Linked DNA regions of Struthio camelus. The protein of the gene in region 2 purifies or fractionates together with the protein of the main gene of each other region. This does not show direct contact. Links are inferred from orthologs where the notes say so. Each region holds a gene or a part of one and is shown on either strand. Other genes may lie near its edges.

Region 1 (7,531 bases), about 11 Mb from region 2:
TGAGACAGGACGCACAGGTGCCCTGAGCCGACAAATGAAACAACCAACCAGTAAGTATTTTTTTTTGACAATTATTAAGATTTTAAAAATTATCTGCACCATATGCACACTTCAGGAAGCACAGATGCACTTGCTATTTCCACCCGTATCCTTCCCCCTACCTAGAAGAAAAAGGCACACCAAGAATAAGACACAAAACCCATGCCTCTCTGACCAAAACTAAAATCTGTTCCTACAGACGTAAAAACTCGTACCGTTAGACAAAGATGCATGCTACGATGCTGGAAAACACCAGTGTTTAAGAATTAATCGTTCACGGATCATCAACTGGTTCTTTCACCTCTCCGATTTTCTCTGACCAGACCACTATGTATTTTTTTCCACCTACTGATCCTCCAATCTTTCAGCTGCAGGTAGCAAAGACACCTGAAAGACAACGCTGTTATTTCCAGAACGTATTTAATCAAACGAAACAATCTTAACCCGCGATGGCTCCCTCTGCCGCGATGGATGATACAATTTTGCCAGCGTGAAGGACTGACTTAACGCACAACTCTGTAAAAGGATCACGGTGCCGCAAGCTACGAAGAAAACGCGCGAGGCGAACCGGCGCGGGCCCCGGCCGCTCTGTCCGGCTTTCCACCGGAGACAGCTCACGTAAGCCAATCCACGGGACAGCGGACCTCCTACCAAGCAACGTTTTAAGGACCAAACGCTTCGACTGATGAAAAACTAAGTTGTATGCACACCTTCAACCACATATTCAAAACTACGCTGCGTTCCGACTAGCCAAAACAACAGGACAACTGGTCATTACCAAACCGGCTGGAATATGAGGTTTGGGGGGGTTGTTTGTTTGTTTGTTTGTTTGTTTTCCGCCGGGGATCCCTGCGGAGACGGAGACCCAGCCAGAAAGTATTCACGGCTACTACAGCGCTGCCTCATCATGACGGCGGCGGGGAAGAAAAGCTCCCGGTCGTCACGGGACACGTCTCCCCCACTTTTACTGCTGACTGGGTTTGTCCTTTAAACCCCTGCGCCCCGCCGAGGCCGGCCGGGCGACAGGGGCGTCGCGCAGTACCCGGGGGCGCTGCCCGCCGCCAACGCCTCCCGCCGGGGCCGCGACCCAGGCGCCAACCGCAGGCCGGGGCCGGCGGGGCCTCGGGGCGGGGCGGGCAGCGCCGCCTCAGGCCGCCCCCGGCCGCGGGGCCGCGGGAGGCGCCAGCGCGGAGCTCCGCGTGGCGGCACCACCGGGAGGGGTCAGGGAGCGCCCGCCCGCCCCAGCCCTGCCCTGCCCCGCTCGGCTCGGCGCGGCCCGGCGGGCAGAGCCCCCCCTCGCGGCGGCCGGGGGCTCCCCAGCGCGGCTCCCGCCCGCCCTCACCGTCGATGTTCTCCCGGTCGCTGATGTGCTGCAGGTTGCAGCCCGTGTCCTCCCGGCTCAGCTCGGCCTCGGGGCGGTAGGACTCCAGGCGGGAGTGGGCATTGCGGCGCAGCTTGGGGCTGGAGGACACGCAGCAGGAGGTGGTGTTGCCCATCTTCGCTGCCCGGCGCCGGCCGGCTCGGCAGGAGGCGAGGGGCGGCCGGTCAGCGGCGGCGGCGGGAGGCCATGGGCGGCGGCGGGGACGAGGAGGCGCGGCGGGCGTGGAGGCTGCGGCGCCCTGCGGCTGCGCTCGCCGGCCGAGCCCCGCGCTGGCTCAGGCTCAGGCTCATGCGAGGAGCCCGGCCCCGCAGCGCGGCCCGCCAGGCGACGGCTGCGGCAGCTACGCCCTCCTCGGCGGGCAGGCAGCGCAGGGCCACGCTAAGCACAGCGCCATCGCCGGCGGCGGGGCTGCCGCGCTCCTCCTCCGCCCCCGCGCAGCCGGCTGGGCCCGCTCCCCACGCACGCAGACACACACACACACACACACACGCGGCAGCGCCGCAGCCTGCGCGGCAGCCGCAGCAGCCGCCCCGGGCGGCCTCCGCTAACCGGTTCCGGTTCAAACGGGCGGCAACGCCTCCTGCCGGAGCGGCGGCGGTGCCCGGCTCGGCCGAGGGGGGCTCAGCCCGCAGCCCGCCGCCCCTCAGGGGCCGCCCGCCCGGCCGCGAGACCCAGCCCGCTTCCTCGGAGCGTTTTTAAGCTTTACAGATTTTTTTTTTCTTTGTTTTTGAACGTCACAGAAACACACAGCCTTTTCTTTCCTAAAGGGAATAGCGGGGCTGCTCCCTCGCCCCCAGGGCCGGCGGTGCCGTCGCTTCGTCGCTGCTCTTGGGGCCTGGTGGGGCAAACTCGCCCACTTGGGGTGAAACGCTGGCGTTTCCGTGGCGCGTCGCCTGCCTGCACAGCTCGGGCAGCAGCCGCCCTCCTTTCGCTCCTGCCGCTGAGCCAAGGCCCAAAACCACAGCAGCTGGGAGCGGCCTGATGCACCACGTACCCCAGGGCTGAATAAAAAGCCTGTACGCGACCACCAGGAGGAAATTTTCACTGGCGACTCATCGCTTTGTAAGAACATAACAGTTCTTTAGGAACGTCTTTTAAGAAATCCTTTCAGACTGACAGGGTCAAAGAAAACGGGCTGAAGAGGAGGAAGGGTGCGCACCCAACCTAGCTAGACCCCCTGCCTTCCACTTTCTCTATATTCAGAGCTTTCCCTATCAAAATCCTTTGTTCTGTATCAATGTGGTACTAAAGATGGAGATGGTCTTTGTTTTTTTTTTTAAATCTCCATAATTTCAGCAAACCTTATGACTGCTGGAGGTCTGAGTCACAGCAGTCCAATGATTCCACTGATCTGATAACTGAAAAACACATTTGTATGTTCACTTATGGCCCCACGTCCTGGGAACCACTGATAACAGCAGCTTCGTTGGTCTGCAAGGCATCTCGTGATATCTGGTGTTTTCAGAAGGTCTGCTCAAGTCAGATGATTACATGAAAGACTTCTAAGTTTTCATGCTAAACTGTTTTCCGACCACACATTGCAAAGAAAAAGGTTGTTAATTTGATGCAAATGTACCCAAGCGGGATACAAAAAAAATCCAATTAAAAAAAAATATTTTGAGGATGTGCTTGCGTAACTCATTTTGTGATAACTGCCACAAGCATGTATGTACAATTGTCTCTGAGTTGCGTTGTCCCTTTGCACTTCAGCAACACAAGATGAATAACATTAGATTTACTGTTTTTTGTGTGCTAGTATCCTCAGTGGTTTGCATCCAAACCAAATGAAATTAAACATTTGCTGGCACTTGTTTAGAAATGTTACCTTGTAGGATATAATGTTAACTAGTGCTTTCCATCACTATTTAGGTCATTGCTTCCTGAGGGTATCTCAGGTGCCTCCCTTCAAGCACACTCTGCTCTCCTGTCTCTAGCTGTCACCTGAGAGCCATCAGCCAGCTCTTCTGTTCAGACCAGGCCTTGGTTAAAACTGTGCTTGTCTCAGCAGTGTTGATTAAATCTCAGACAGGCATAGCAGAGATCAGAAAATTTCAAACAAATCTTTAGTCAAATCTTGTGTTTTGTACATATTTCACAATTCTAATAAGCTTTGAGACAAAACAGGCAATAACATAATAATGGAAATGTTAATTGCATATTTAGATAGCAGAACTAAATAAGACATATTCCTTCATTAACAGGGAACAGTTCAGACTTTGTGTATTTAAAGCAAATATTCTAAAAGTAAAGTTTTGTCTAAAAGTTTTGACACTGTCTCCCATCACATCCTCCTAGGTAAGCTCAGGAAGTGTGGGCTAGATGAGTGGCCGGTGAGGTGGCTTGAGAACTGGCTGGATGGCCGAGCTCAGAGGGTTGTGGTGAATGGCGCAGAGTCAAGTTGGAGGCCTGTGGCTAGTGGTGTCCCCCAGGGGTCAGTCCTGGGCCCAGTCTTGTTCAGTGTATTCATCCATGACCTGGAGGAAGGGACAGAGTGCACCCTCAGCAAGTTTGCTGATGATACTAAACTGGGGGGAGTGGCTGACACACCAGAAGACTGTGCTGCCATTCAGAGGGACCTGGAGAGGCTGGAGAGGTGGGCCGAGAGGAACCTCATGAAGTTCAACAAAGGCAAGTGCAAGGTCCTGCACCTAGGCAGGAATAATCCCATGCAGCAGTACAGGCTGGGGGTTGACCTGCTGGAAAGTAGCTCTGCAGAGAAGGACCTGGGAGTGCTGGTGGACAACAAGTGAAGCATGAGGCAGCAGTGTGCCCTTGTGGCCAAGAAGGCCAATGGTCTCCTGGGGTGCATTAGGCAGAGTGTTGCCAGCAGGTGGAGGGAGGTGATCCTGCCCCTCTACTCAGCCCTGGGGAGGCCTCCCCTGGAGTCCTGTGTCCAGTTCTGGGCTCCCCAGTACATGGCACTCCTGGAGAGAGTCCAGCGGAGGGCTACCAAGATGATTAGAGGGCTGGAGCACCTCTCCTATGAAGAAAGACTGCAAGAGCTGGGCCTGTTGAGCCTGGAGAAGAGAAGACTGAGGGGAGATCTGATCAACGTATACAAGTATCTGAAGGGGGAGTGTCAAGAGGATGAGGCCAGCCTCTTCTCCGTGGTGCCCAGCGACAGGACAAGAGGCAACGGGCAGAAACTGAACCACAGGAAGTTCCATCTGAAGCTGAGAAAAAACTTCTTCACTGTGAGGGTGACAGAGCATTGGAACAGGTTGCCCAGAGAGGTAGTGGAGTCTCCTTCGCTGGAGATATTCAAAACCCGCCTGGATGTGATCCTGGGCAATCTGCTCTAGAGGACCCTGCTTGAGCAGGGAGGTTGGATTAGATGATCTCCAGAGGTCCCATCCAACCTAAATGATTCTGTAAACATTTAAAATGTATTTAAATATAAAGCATTTACAATTTGTGACCACCAGTTGTGACCACGTAATCACCATGTAGCTACCTATTTTCCCGCTTGCAACCTTTTTTCCTGAATTTTTAGTAGATCTTTATTCCACCTCCTTTCACCCTAAAAGCTTGCTGAACTGCACTGTAATGACAAAGATGCTACAACACATATTTAAAGATAAGGTTGAAGAAAAGGAACACTGCTCCAGGGTAATGGTCTCCTGAGCTGGTATCTAAGTACAAACATGAAATAAGGGTCAAGAAAGCATGTTTGCTTTCAGTTATGATTACTTTATTTCAGCTATATTAAGTGTATAATGTAAATGTAATTGTATTATTTGCTAAATGTTAGTACAGTAAAGCAAGAACAGTTCACTACCTTTTTGACTTGCTTAAGTGTCATGCATTTCAAAAGATCTTTTGTGTCTTTTGTTGATTACAGACCATTCTATCCTTGAAGTTTAAGATTATGTATTTTCCTGAGTTTATCCTACATCTGAGCAACTTAATGTACCAGCTAAGGAACACCATGAAGCACCTTTAGCTAAGGCTAAGCCTTTGAAGATTGGTCAGTGCTAAGCTACCTGGCTTTACAAAGTGCCTATCCCTGCCCAGTGGTATTTCTTAAATCCAATAGTGTCTCCACTATAGAGAAAATAATGAACTTTAGTAGGTTAAATATTAATGACGCGACACATAGAATTTTGCACTTGAAATCTTCCTGAACATTGTGAAAAAAATGTAAGTGATTCAAACCACCAGATGTAGGTTACTGTTTTGCTTAAATAACAAGATTCTTACCTATTTGGGGTACCAAAATTGTACCCCAATACAAGCATTGTAAATATTATTTAATCTGAAACTACCTTCTATTTGCAAATCAAATAACAAGGGGAACACAGATGAAAAAAAAAAAAATACTTCAAAATAAATGATGGTGACAACCAGATCCTTTGATTCTGATCCAGTCTTCTAGATAGGTACCCTGAGAAATTTCCACTATACACCTTCCCCACACTGCCACCTAATGGTTAATAGGAGCCCTACTAGTGATTTGAGCATAAGTTACTTCTTAAAATCTGGGCAAACCATACTGTCAGATTTATCATAGAGCTAATTATTATAGGAGATTTACAAACTCTTATTTGCAAAAGCTTAAAATGAAAATTCCTATGTACACAGGTAAAAATATTGGCCTTCACAATAACAGAAAGAATTTTGATGTGGTCCACTTTAGAACATGATTTCTGCAGTCCCTTAACGAATATATTTTGTTCCGGCTGTCATACATTAATGTAGATCTCATGTGTAAAAAATGAGGCATTTAAAAAGTAAAGTATGTTATGCCAAAGAAAATGAGAAGAAAGTGAGAGAAAATCATTTTTGTATTGCTGAAAGGCAAATGTATGTCAAAACAACCTGAAGATATGTGTGTTTATGAGTCCTGCTGCGTAGGATAACATGTTGGAAACAAATACTATGGAAAAAATAAATAAAGAGGGATATAGAAAGTACTAACTAGTATCATATTTATCCATTGTTACTACTCCTTTGACTGATACAGAAGGAAAGGTTTTATCCTCTTCGAATAAAGAGTTTAGAAATATGCCCTTTACCATCTTGGCCATGGAGGGCAGCCATCAGCCATCACAGTTAAGCTAAGCTGTGCAATAGATATTTAGCTTGAAAGGTCAAAGACAAATTATCGGAGAAATGTCACTATTAACCACTCTTAAACTCTATAGTCAATATAATCCATTGTTATGTGTTATTTACTTACCATCCAATTGCATGTCCTTTATTTTTCAGTTTTTCAAAATCTCTTCCAAGATCTTGTGTAGTACTGAATCAAACAAATAGATCTGTATTGGCTCTTTTCTTTTTCAAGTATAGGGATTATGTTTGCTCTTCTTCAGATACCACTTCCAAATTTCAGATTCCTTTGAAATCCTTACTATTGAACTTGCAATTTCTCTTCCTTGGTCTTGAGGTATTTTAAGATGTCAAGTGGAAGTTCTGTGGCTACCATTGCTCTTTAGGATGTTCTGCGGGGCGTGGGTGTCCTGAGGCTGGGTAACCCACTCCCGTATGGGCATTTTGTTTTCAGTGTCATGACTAACTAACAGCTTCCCTTCTTCATTCATACTGTGCACAGATTCCCGGTAACATGTGAATTATTTCACAGTGTCCGTATATCTAAATTTTACCTCACTTCGACTGCATTCTTAGGTAGTTTGAAATCTGTGCCTCATCTGGAATTTTTAATCTGCTATAGAGAGGAGGCAAACCTAAAATTCATTTTGCAGGCTCCTTTGCAGCTGACCTGGCAAAGAACTTAAACCATGAGCAAACAGAGCAACTGAAAATAGCATCATATCCCAAAGGCTGGGGGAATGCATCATACTTGATCATGACAAAGTCCTCTATTGTGTTATTCAACAGAAGGCATTCACATATCACATCTTGGACTACACTTAGGATGCCCGCACCTATGGATTTGTATAGACTACTCCAGTGGCAGGCTTCCCCTTTACGGTTTATGGTTTCTTCTAGGACTGAGACTGTCTTCTCTTTGTTTAAAGGAGAAATCCAACGTTTGCCCAAAAAATGTCCTTTCAGCCCTGTCACAAGTTGTCTGAAGTGCACTCTATGCCTACTCCAGCCATTATCCCATCATCAGAGGCATTTGCTGTAGCACTCAGCAAAATTGTC
Region 2 (7,408 bases):
GAGAGAACATCCTCAGCCAGGGAGATTTATGAAGATCTGCTTTACATTGGCAGAGGAAGGCCTGACAAGGGGAAGTTTTACTTGACAATCCTGTTCACTATTTCATTCTCTGAGGGACCTGTCCGGTTTACTTTGGGTAAGCCACTTGATCTGAGGGCTTGCTTTCCCAGCACAATACTCTGTGCACATAACACTCCAAACCAATGGCATTAACAACTTCTTTAACAGACAGGCTGTGTTTGTTTACTTGCTCTTAAGGTTTTTAAATTCAAACACTTGGCCCAACAGGAGTTCAACTAGAGCAGGAATGCAAGTTAAGTATATGGCCTTTCAAGAATCCCTAAGGAGAAATGTTGGGTGTGTGCTGGGGGCGGGGGTGAGTAGAGAGAGCTGTGGGAGAGCTCAGACCATGTAAAAATACTTCTTCAAATCAACAGCAATTACCCTGAGATGTGGGAAGTGCACATCTTTATATTACACTGTGAGCCACCATCTGCACCACACATCACAGATTTGTTTTTTGTCATCTCATCTTACCCTGCAAGTAGTGAATAGGGCAACTGCGTCTGTTTTATCTGCAGAGAGATTTCTGTCATCCTGAGCGCGCCAGGCCTGCTAGGGCACTGCTTATAGTTTTAAATAATATGTTAGTTTACACAGTAATAAACAAACTGCCAACCCTGCTGCCTCCTTTCCTCCAGAAATAACAAATCTAACCCTCACCTCACTGCAAAACACAAATGATTAGGCTGACTGGCTTGCATGATGCATTGAGGCAAATGTTTCCTGTTGTCCAGCTTTGCAATTGATATCTTGGCAAATATTTCTACTGCACTTGATAATCCCTACACTTGCAAACTGATTCAGTTAACTCAATGGCAGCAGTGGAGGTCAAGATGTGTAGTAAATTCTTACCAAAAGTCAAGTAAGGAGATGCTCAGGGTGTAGAGTAACTGCCAGCAGGTTTTTATTTAGGATGTTTCTTTGGGGAGCTGATGTGAGAAAGGACACTTTAAATAAACTGCCTAGCTTTTTGTAATATAGAAGTCGCTTTACATGTAAACAAGTTCAAACTCTGGAGATTATTGTGAAAGACGGTAGCAAACAGCAATATTCTTTAGCATTTTGGTCATGTTAACTTTTTCACACCACAAATTGCAAGACGTAAACATAAAAAGTCGAGCTAAAAGCCTGCCCCTACAAAGAAGCAAAATGTCATCATTAGAATAGCTGTATCTCTGTGGTTTGCTAATTGCACATTTCTGCCTTATTGTTTTCCTGTGCTGGGTGACTGAAATACAGAAGAAAAGGAAGAACCACAAATGTATGGTCTTAATCAAAGTTACAAAAGTGATTTCACTTTCCTGAATTCAATAAATTTGCAACACTAGTGCCGCTGGCCACAGAAAAGGTTTAGATAGAGAAAGAACAAAGGCGGCCTTTAACATAATTTTTTCCTTCAAGTAAAAACCATTGAGGAAAGAAGAATAAAAAATGCAGCGTGCAGTTCGAAGACTTCTGCACTGCTTCAAGGGCATCCTTCCTCGGGTGGCGAATGTCTGTGGAACATCTCTGTGGACTGAGATTGTAAAATTTTCAGAAGACAAGATCTGGGTTTCTTTCACTGGCACCACACTGATGTCTAATTTAGGCAAAATGTTCATTAATTTAAAATACCCTGACATAAACTTGTAGATTGGTCCTATGCAATTGCAAAGTCAGACACTTCTCAGAAATTCTAACTCGTCTGTATTATCAAAAAAAGCAGAACACACAGCAGTAGTGTGGCAAATAGGCTTGTCATGCACTTTTGATAAAGTCGAAGTTTACCTAGAAATAGGGGGGAAAATAGGAATGTTGTTCCAAATTCAGGAGCATTGATTTATGTAGGTAAGACAGCATCTGTCACTTAAGCATAGTTAATAACAGGTTTTCTCAGAAGCGCTCAGAAACTCTATCACTAATTGCCAAAATAAAGCCATAGCCTGAATTACAGTACTGTTCAGAGAAGTCTCAGGCAGGCAGGAAGGCCTCCTGGTGTGAATGGCATGTGCAAAAAGTGAACAAGGCTGAAATTGTAAGCTTAGTTTCATCTTTCAGATTAGAACGTATTATTCATGACAATAGCATTTTCCTCTCCACTCAAAGCAGGAATATTCACCAGTATTAATATCAGATTTGAACAAAGATTGAACTATTAACTATTATTAAGGACTCGAATGTCATTTTTTTTGCACTGAGTGATAATATATCCTCAAGTGCTTGTGTCCTTCCCCCTCCTTTTCTCCTTCTAGCCTCCTTGTCTGTTTCTTCGAAACTTTTATTTCTACTCTCCCCCATCTTCTCTCTGCAGCATTTCAGTTTCTACCCTTTCTCTACTTCCTTGCATAATATGACATTGTCAACATTAAACTGCCATTTCAGCTTCTGTTTTTAAGACATTAGCAGGGTCAACAAAGTTCGCACCTCTGAAAACCATTTTCTCATACTGTCTGTAGATTCAGGGTTTATGCATAAGACATTTTACTGCATTATTGTACTGCTGTATAGCGGGATAATTGCCCATGATCTTGTGTGTCATAGGAGACACATATATAAACACATAGTAGGTTTCCATCTGAGGAGGCTACGTATTTGCTGTTCCTGCTGCATATACACATTGTAATAGATAGGTCCTATCCCAAAGAGCTTAGTGTTGCAGATGGCTTGAACTCAACTCATCTAAATGCTTGTCTAGACAAATGTGCTTTTAAAATTGAGTTAACAACTCCTAGCATGGACACAGTCTAATCCCAGTAAATTGTGTTAGCTAGCCTCATTAAAAACCAAGCTCATTTTAACCAGATAATATGCATTAAAATACAATTTGCACTAGGTACACCGGGGTTCTAAAATGTGTAACCTAACATGAATTGTTTTCAAAAAGTACCTACTTTGTAGTTTAGACTAGACATATCCATCCATCTTGATGGGTTAAACTGATTTATTTTTCAATAACGTTGGTTCAATTGAGTTAACAAGATCAAAAGCTCTCAACACTCAGTAAGTTGCAGGCTAACACGTTTGAAGCCATATTACCTGGCTGTCCTTTAAGATGTAAGTGGACGCTAAGCCCAGGTTTCGACTTGAAGAGCTGGGTGCGTACTTAAGGCAAGGTGCCCTTTTTCTACCAGCCGTACCACAGCTACTCAACTATCATCCCACTCAACGCTAACCCAGAAATTAGGCCAAGAAGTCACCTTCCTGCATCGTCAAACCTACGCAGCTTGCCTTGGCCTCTGAACGTGCGGCGCCGGGCCTGGGGAGGGCAGCGGGCGCGCGGGCAGGCCTCGCTCGCTGCCCAGGCGCCGGAGGCAGCACGGGGCGGCCGTCGCGGCTGCCGGTGCTGGGCACAACGAGGCACACAACGAGGCCGCAGCGCCGCAGGCCGCGGGGTTGACAGTTCTTGCTGAACACTGCATATCTGTTCCCTAATCAACCGCTATCAAAAGCACCTTTGAGGCTACAAAGCCGCAAGCACCCTATTATAGTAATCCCCAGCGGAGGGCTGCCCCACACTGCTTTGCTTGGTGCGTGGTGGATGGCGAGGCCACGTTAATCCGGGGTTGCCCGTGCTGCGGCCGCGCTCGCGGTGTGCCAGCAGCAGGGCCCGGGCCGCCGCCCTGAAGGGACACAGGCCCCGCCGCCTCCGCCGCCCCGCTCGCTGCCCCCTCGGCCCGGCGCGGCCCCGCCGCCTCGCCCCGGCAGCCGCCGGCCCGGCCCGGCGGGGACAGCCCGGCGGAGGCGCCGCGGCGCGGTCGCGGCTGCCGGGCCCCGCCGCCGGCTCGGCGGGCGGAGAGGGCCGCCTCCTCCCGGCCGCGGCGCGGGGCTCCCCTGCCCGCCCAGGCTCCGCCTCCTCCTTTCTCTCAGCGCTTCTCCGCACCCCTCCCTCCCCGCCTCCCTCCCCGCCTCCCTCCCCGCCTCCCTCCGTGCCCGCACCCCCGCGCCGGACTTTCCTTTCACTCCTCCATCTCCCCTCCGCACTTTTCTCCCCCCCCCCCCGCCTCCCCGCCTCTCCTCCCTCCGTGCCCCTTCCCCGCTTCATTCCCCCGGCGCGTCTCGCTGTGGCCGGGGGAGCCCGGGGAAGGGGGGACGGGACGGGGCTATGAGCCGCGCGGCGGCTGCGGGGAGCCGAGCAGCTGCCGCGGGCACCACGTAGGGCGCCTTCGCGGGCGGGGCCGTCCCGTTGCCCGTCCCGCTGCCCTCGGCGGCCGCCCGGGCGCGGGGCGGGAGCCCCTGGAGCCGGGGAGGTCTCCCGCCTGCCCGCGGGGGCGGCGGCGCTCGGCGCGCGGCGGCAGGGGTGTCCGTTGGCCGGCGAGGCGCGGGGGGGGGCGGGAGCGGCGTGTGCCGTCGGGCCGCGGGCGCCCCGGGGCGGGGGCGGCGAGCCGGAGGGGCGCCCGCGTGTGTGACATGATCGACTCGCAGGCGGCCGAGAAGATCAGCAGGATGAAAAAGTTGCGGAGAACTTTATCGGAGAGCTTCAGCCGAATCGGTGAGTCCCGGCGGCGCCGGCCGTTGGCCCGCGCCGGCCGCTGGCGCTGCCCGTTGGCCTGAGGGGCCGCCGGGGGCGGCGGCGCGGCGAGGGGGCCGGGCGGGTCGCGGGCTGCGTGGCGGGCTGTCCCGCCTCGCTGCCCGTCCTCCCCGCTGCCCCGGCATCTCTCCCCGCCGTTTGGTTACCTGCGCAGGTATCTTGACTCCGCCGAGCAGTCTGGACCGAAAGACGGGGCTGTATGAGAAAAGGCTCTCTCTGCTTCTCGCCTGCCCATTATTTGTGTAGTGGCATGGTGGTATCCTATGCGTTGCAGAGGTGGAAACAACCGTGCTGTGCCAGGCTTTTCAAACGCTTCTTGTGAATGATGTTTGGAAAATAGCAAATATTTCCCGGCAATGTGTGCAACCCAGAGAGTACAGCATGCATCTGTAGTTGAACTGGCTTAAAATAGGCTAGAAAAAAACAAAGTAAAAATGAGAATTGTCCAGCCTGTCTCCATTGCCAAAGTGAAACCTTGACAAAAATATGGAAAAGCAAATTATTATTTTTGTTTTGATCTAGGTCTAGTTTTTTTTTGGTCAGGCTGCACATTCTTTTAAGTTGAGGCATGAGATGCTGAAGCAGATAACAGCGGATCAGTGATTTAGGAGGCTAGACAAAAGAAGCCTGTCTGTCATCTCCTGCTAAGTCCTGTCATTCTTTCAGTGACATAAAGCATGCTGAGAGAGTGTTATCCGAACAGGGTCCTGCTGAGCACGTCATCCCCTCATGCCACTGCATTGCGTTCGAGTTTGACACCAGTTTATTTTGCCTTAGGATTTGTTACTGAGAACAATGCCAAAGAGTCCTGGTACGCTTCAACTGATGTTTCCCTCGGTCTTTGGCACAGTGTCTTGCTTAGCTCTGTGTTCAGCGTGCTTGATCCCACTGATGGTGCAGCCATGCTGCTGAGCAGGGAGCCCCTCCACAGCACCTAGCCGGAAAAGGGCCCATCCCCAGCCCTGTCAGCTCCCTCCCTCTTGTCCCGCCAGAGCTTTTCCCTTGCAGTCATCTTGGGGATGGCGTTCTAGCCTCAGAGCTGCTTTGTGCTGGCGAGGGGAAGTGAAGTGCCTGTGCTGCAGTAATGAGCTGTGGCATGTGGTATTTTCTTGACGGTCTCATCAGGAAGGTGTGTTGAAGTACATGGGCGTTATAATTTTTCATGTGTTTGCTTATGCGATCAATGTATTACTTTAGCTTTTAATAACTTGTTCATATTTATAAAATAGAAGAAGAAATTATTTCAAGGGTATATGCCAAGTTTCAGTTCAGAAGTGAATATTAAGTCACAATTATATGTCCCTCCGTCCCCATGTGAAGATAGCTTTCAGCTGTAATCAATCTTAAGCTTGTAAAATGCATTTAATTATTTTTGATTAAAAAAAAAGAAAAAAGGGCAGCCAGGTATTTGGTCTGCTCTGTCACATGTTTGTGTGTGCATATAGGCACATAGAGACGCTCTTTGTCAATAGAACTATGGGAGGGTTTTACTAATGGTGCCAGTCATTAGCAAAGAAAATCTCTTGAATGAAGATGCTGCTTTATCATACCGGTGACAGTCCCATTAATGTCTTTTCAGTACCAAGGACTCTCTGCATGATAGTTTCTGCATGGTTTAATTGGCACTGTTGGGTGATCGTCTTTCTTCTTCATTTTCACAAGCTAAGAAACCTTTCAGTTTCCTTGGGAATTTTGGCCTGATTTTAGGGATACATATTGTTATGTTTTCCAGTTACGCTAGTTCGTTGTGTGCACAGCAGTGTAGGATGCGGTTGGTTGGCTGGTTTGTTTGTTTGTTGTGGTTCTTTTGTTATTAAAACTCAGCTGGTACTAGCAAGACTGTTCTGTCTTCAGATGGTCTAATATTTTGGCCATTATGCTGGTAATTGCACTTTGAGCCAAAAAATCTAATTTATCAGTATGGAGCTTGAACAGAGCCACTCCCTTATACCCAGAGCCACACATAAGCCCAACCAAAACAAACCTCTGTTTGAAAAACTCTAACTTGCATACCAGGAAATCCTCAGTTAAAACATGTGCTGTACTTAACTTGCATTTTTTAATGAAGGAGAAAAAACTAAAACCTCATTAGAAAAAAGTTTTAACTGTCTGGCTATTTGTCACTCTGGTTTTACACCTCTTTTAGGTAATGAGGCGTTCCTTGGTGAGATTAGCAAGTTATTACTTTAATATGTAGCTAATCTTGAACTTTCTGTCAATCATCTCTTCGGCTGTGGTTTGTCTATTATAAACAACTTTGTTGATCTTTTAACTTACCTGTTCTGCTGAAGTTTATGTTTTCATAGATTTAAGTACACAGCAGCATTATTGATATAATTGTAAAAACAATATGAGCAACAAAGATGATGTTTGAACCAAGTAAGTAATGAGTCAAACCTTCACATGCTACAGTAGGGAATGTCTAATAATCTTTCTAAGAATGGTAAGCCTTTTCTAGTCGTTCCCCTCACTCTCCTCCGATATTTTTGGTATCTGAGTTGCCAAATACAATTTTTTCCAATGCTATAAGGCCCCCTGATTTGGGTACCAGAGTTTATGTTATCCTGTTTGTTAAGAGCAGTGTAAATGAACCTTAATTATCTTTGGCTGTGTTCTTGTGCTAGGACATGTAACTTAATACTCAATGGACTACCTTCAGGAAAACTTTTTTCCTCACATAGTAGTCTTTTGTATTTTAGACACTGTATCAGCAATGACTTTAAGAAGTGATCATTTTTTTCCCCAGTGTGCAGCAGTATGCTAATTAATGGTTGAAGCTATTTCCCAAAAGAAGAAAAAACCCAAATGCATTATGTATTTCATTTTCAATACTTATTT

The links. Proteins that work in one complex are often made in the same cells at the same time.
Region 1: the proteins of CDK14 (region 2) and CCNY purify together in Homo sapiens (affinity purification with western blotting; 3 studies listed by BioGRID and IntAct, with this or other methods). This does not show direct contact. The link is inferred for Struthio camelus from reciprocal best matches to the Homo sapiens genes CDK14 and CCNY.

What each region holds. Positions count from the first base shown.
Region 1 is NC_090943.1:15,715,728-15,723,258, forward strand, and holds the start of CCNY (cyclin-Y), read right to left. Parts: upstream 3,010-7,531; 5' UTR 1,536-3,009; coding exon 1,382-1,535; intron 427-1,381; exon of another isoform or gene 255-426; intron 1-254. UniProt on the Homo sapiens protein: Positive regulatory subunit of the cyclin-dependent kinases CDK14/PFTK1 and CDK16.
Region 2 is NC_090943.1:26,303,567-26,310,974, forward strand, and holds the start of CDK14 (cyclin-dependent kinase 14), read left to right. Parts: upstream 1-4,389; 5' UTR 4,390-4,449; coding exon 4,450-4,531; intron 4,532-5,576; exon of another isoform or gene 5,577-5,699; intron 5,700-7,408. UniProt on the Homo sapiens protein: Serine/threonine-protein kinase involved in the control of the eukaryotic cell cycle, whose activity is controlled by an associated cyclin.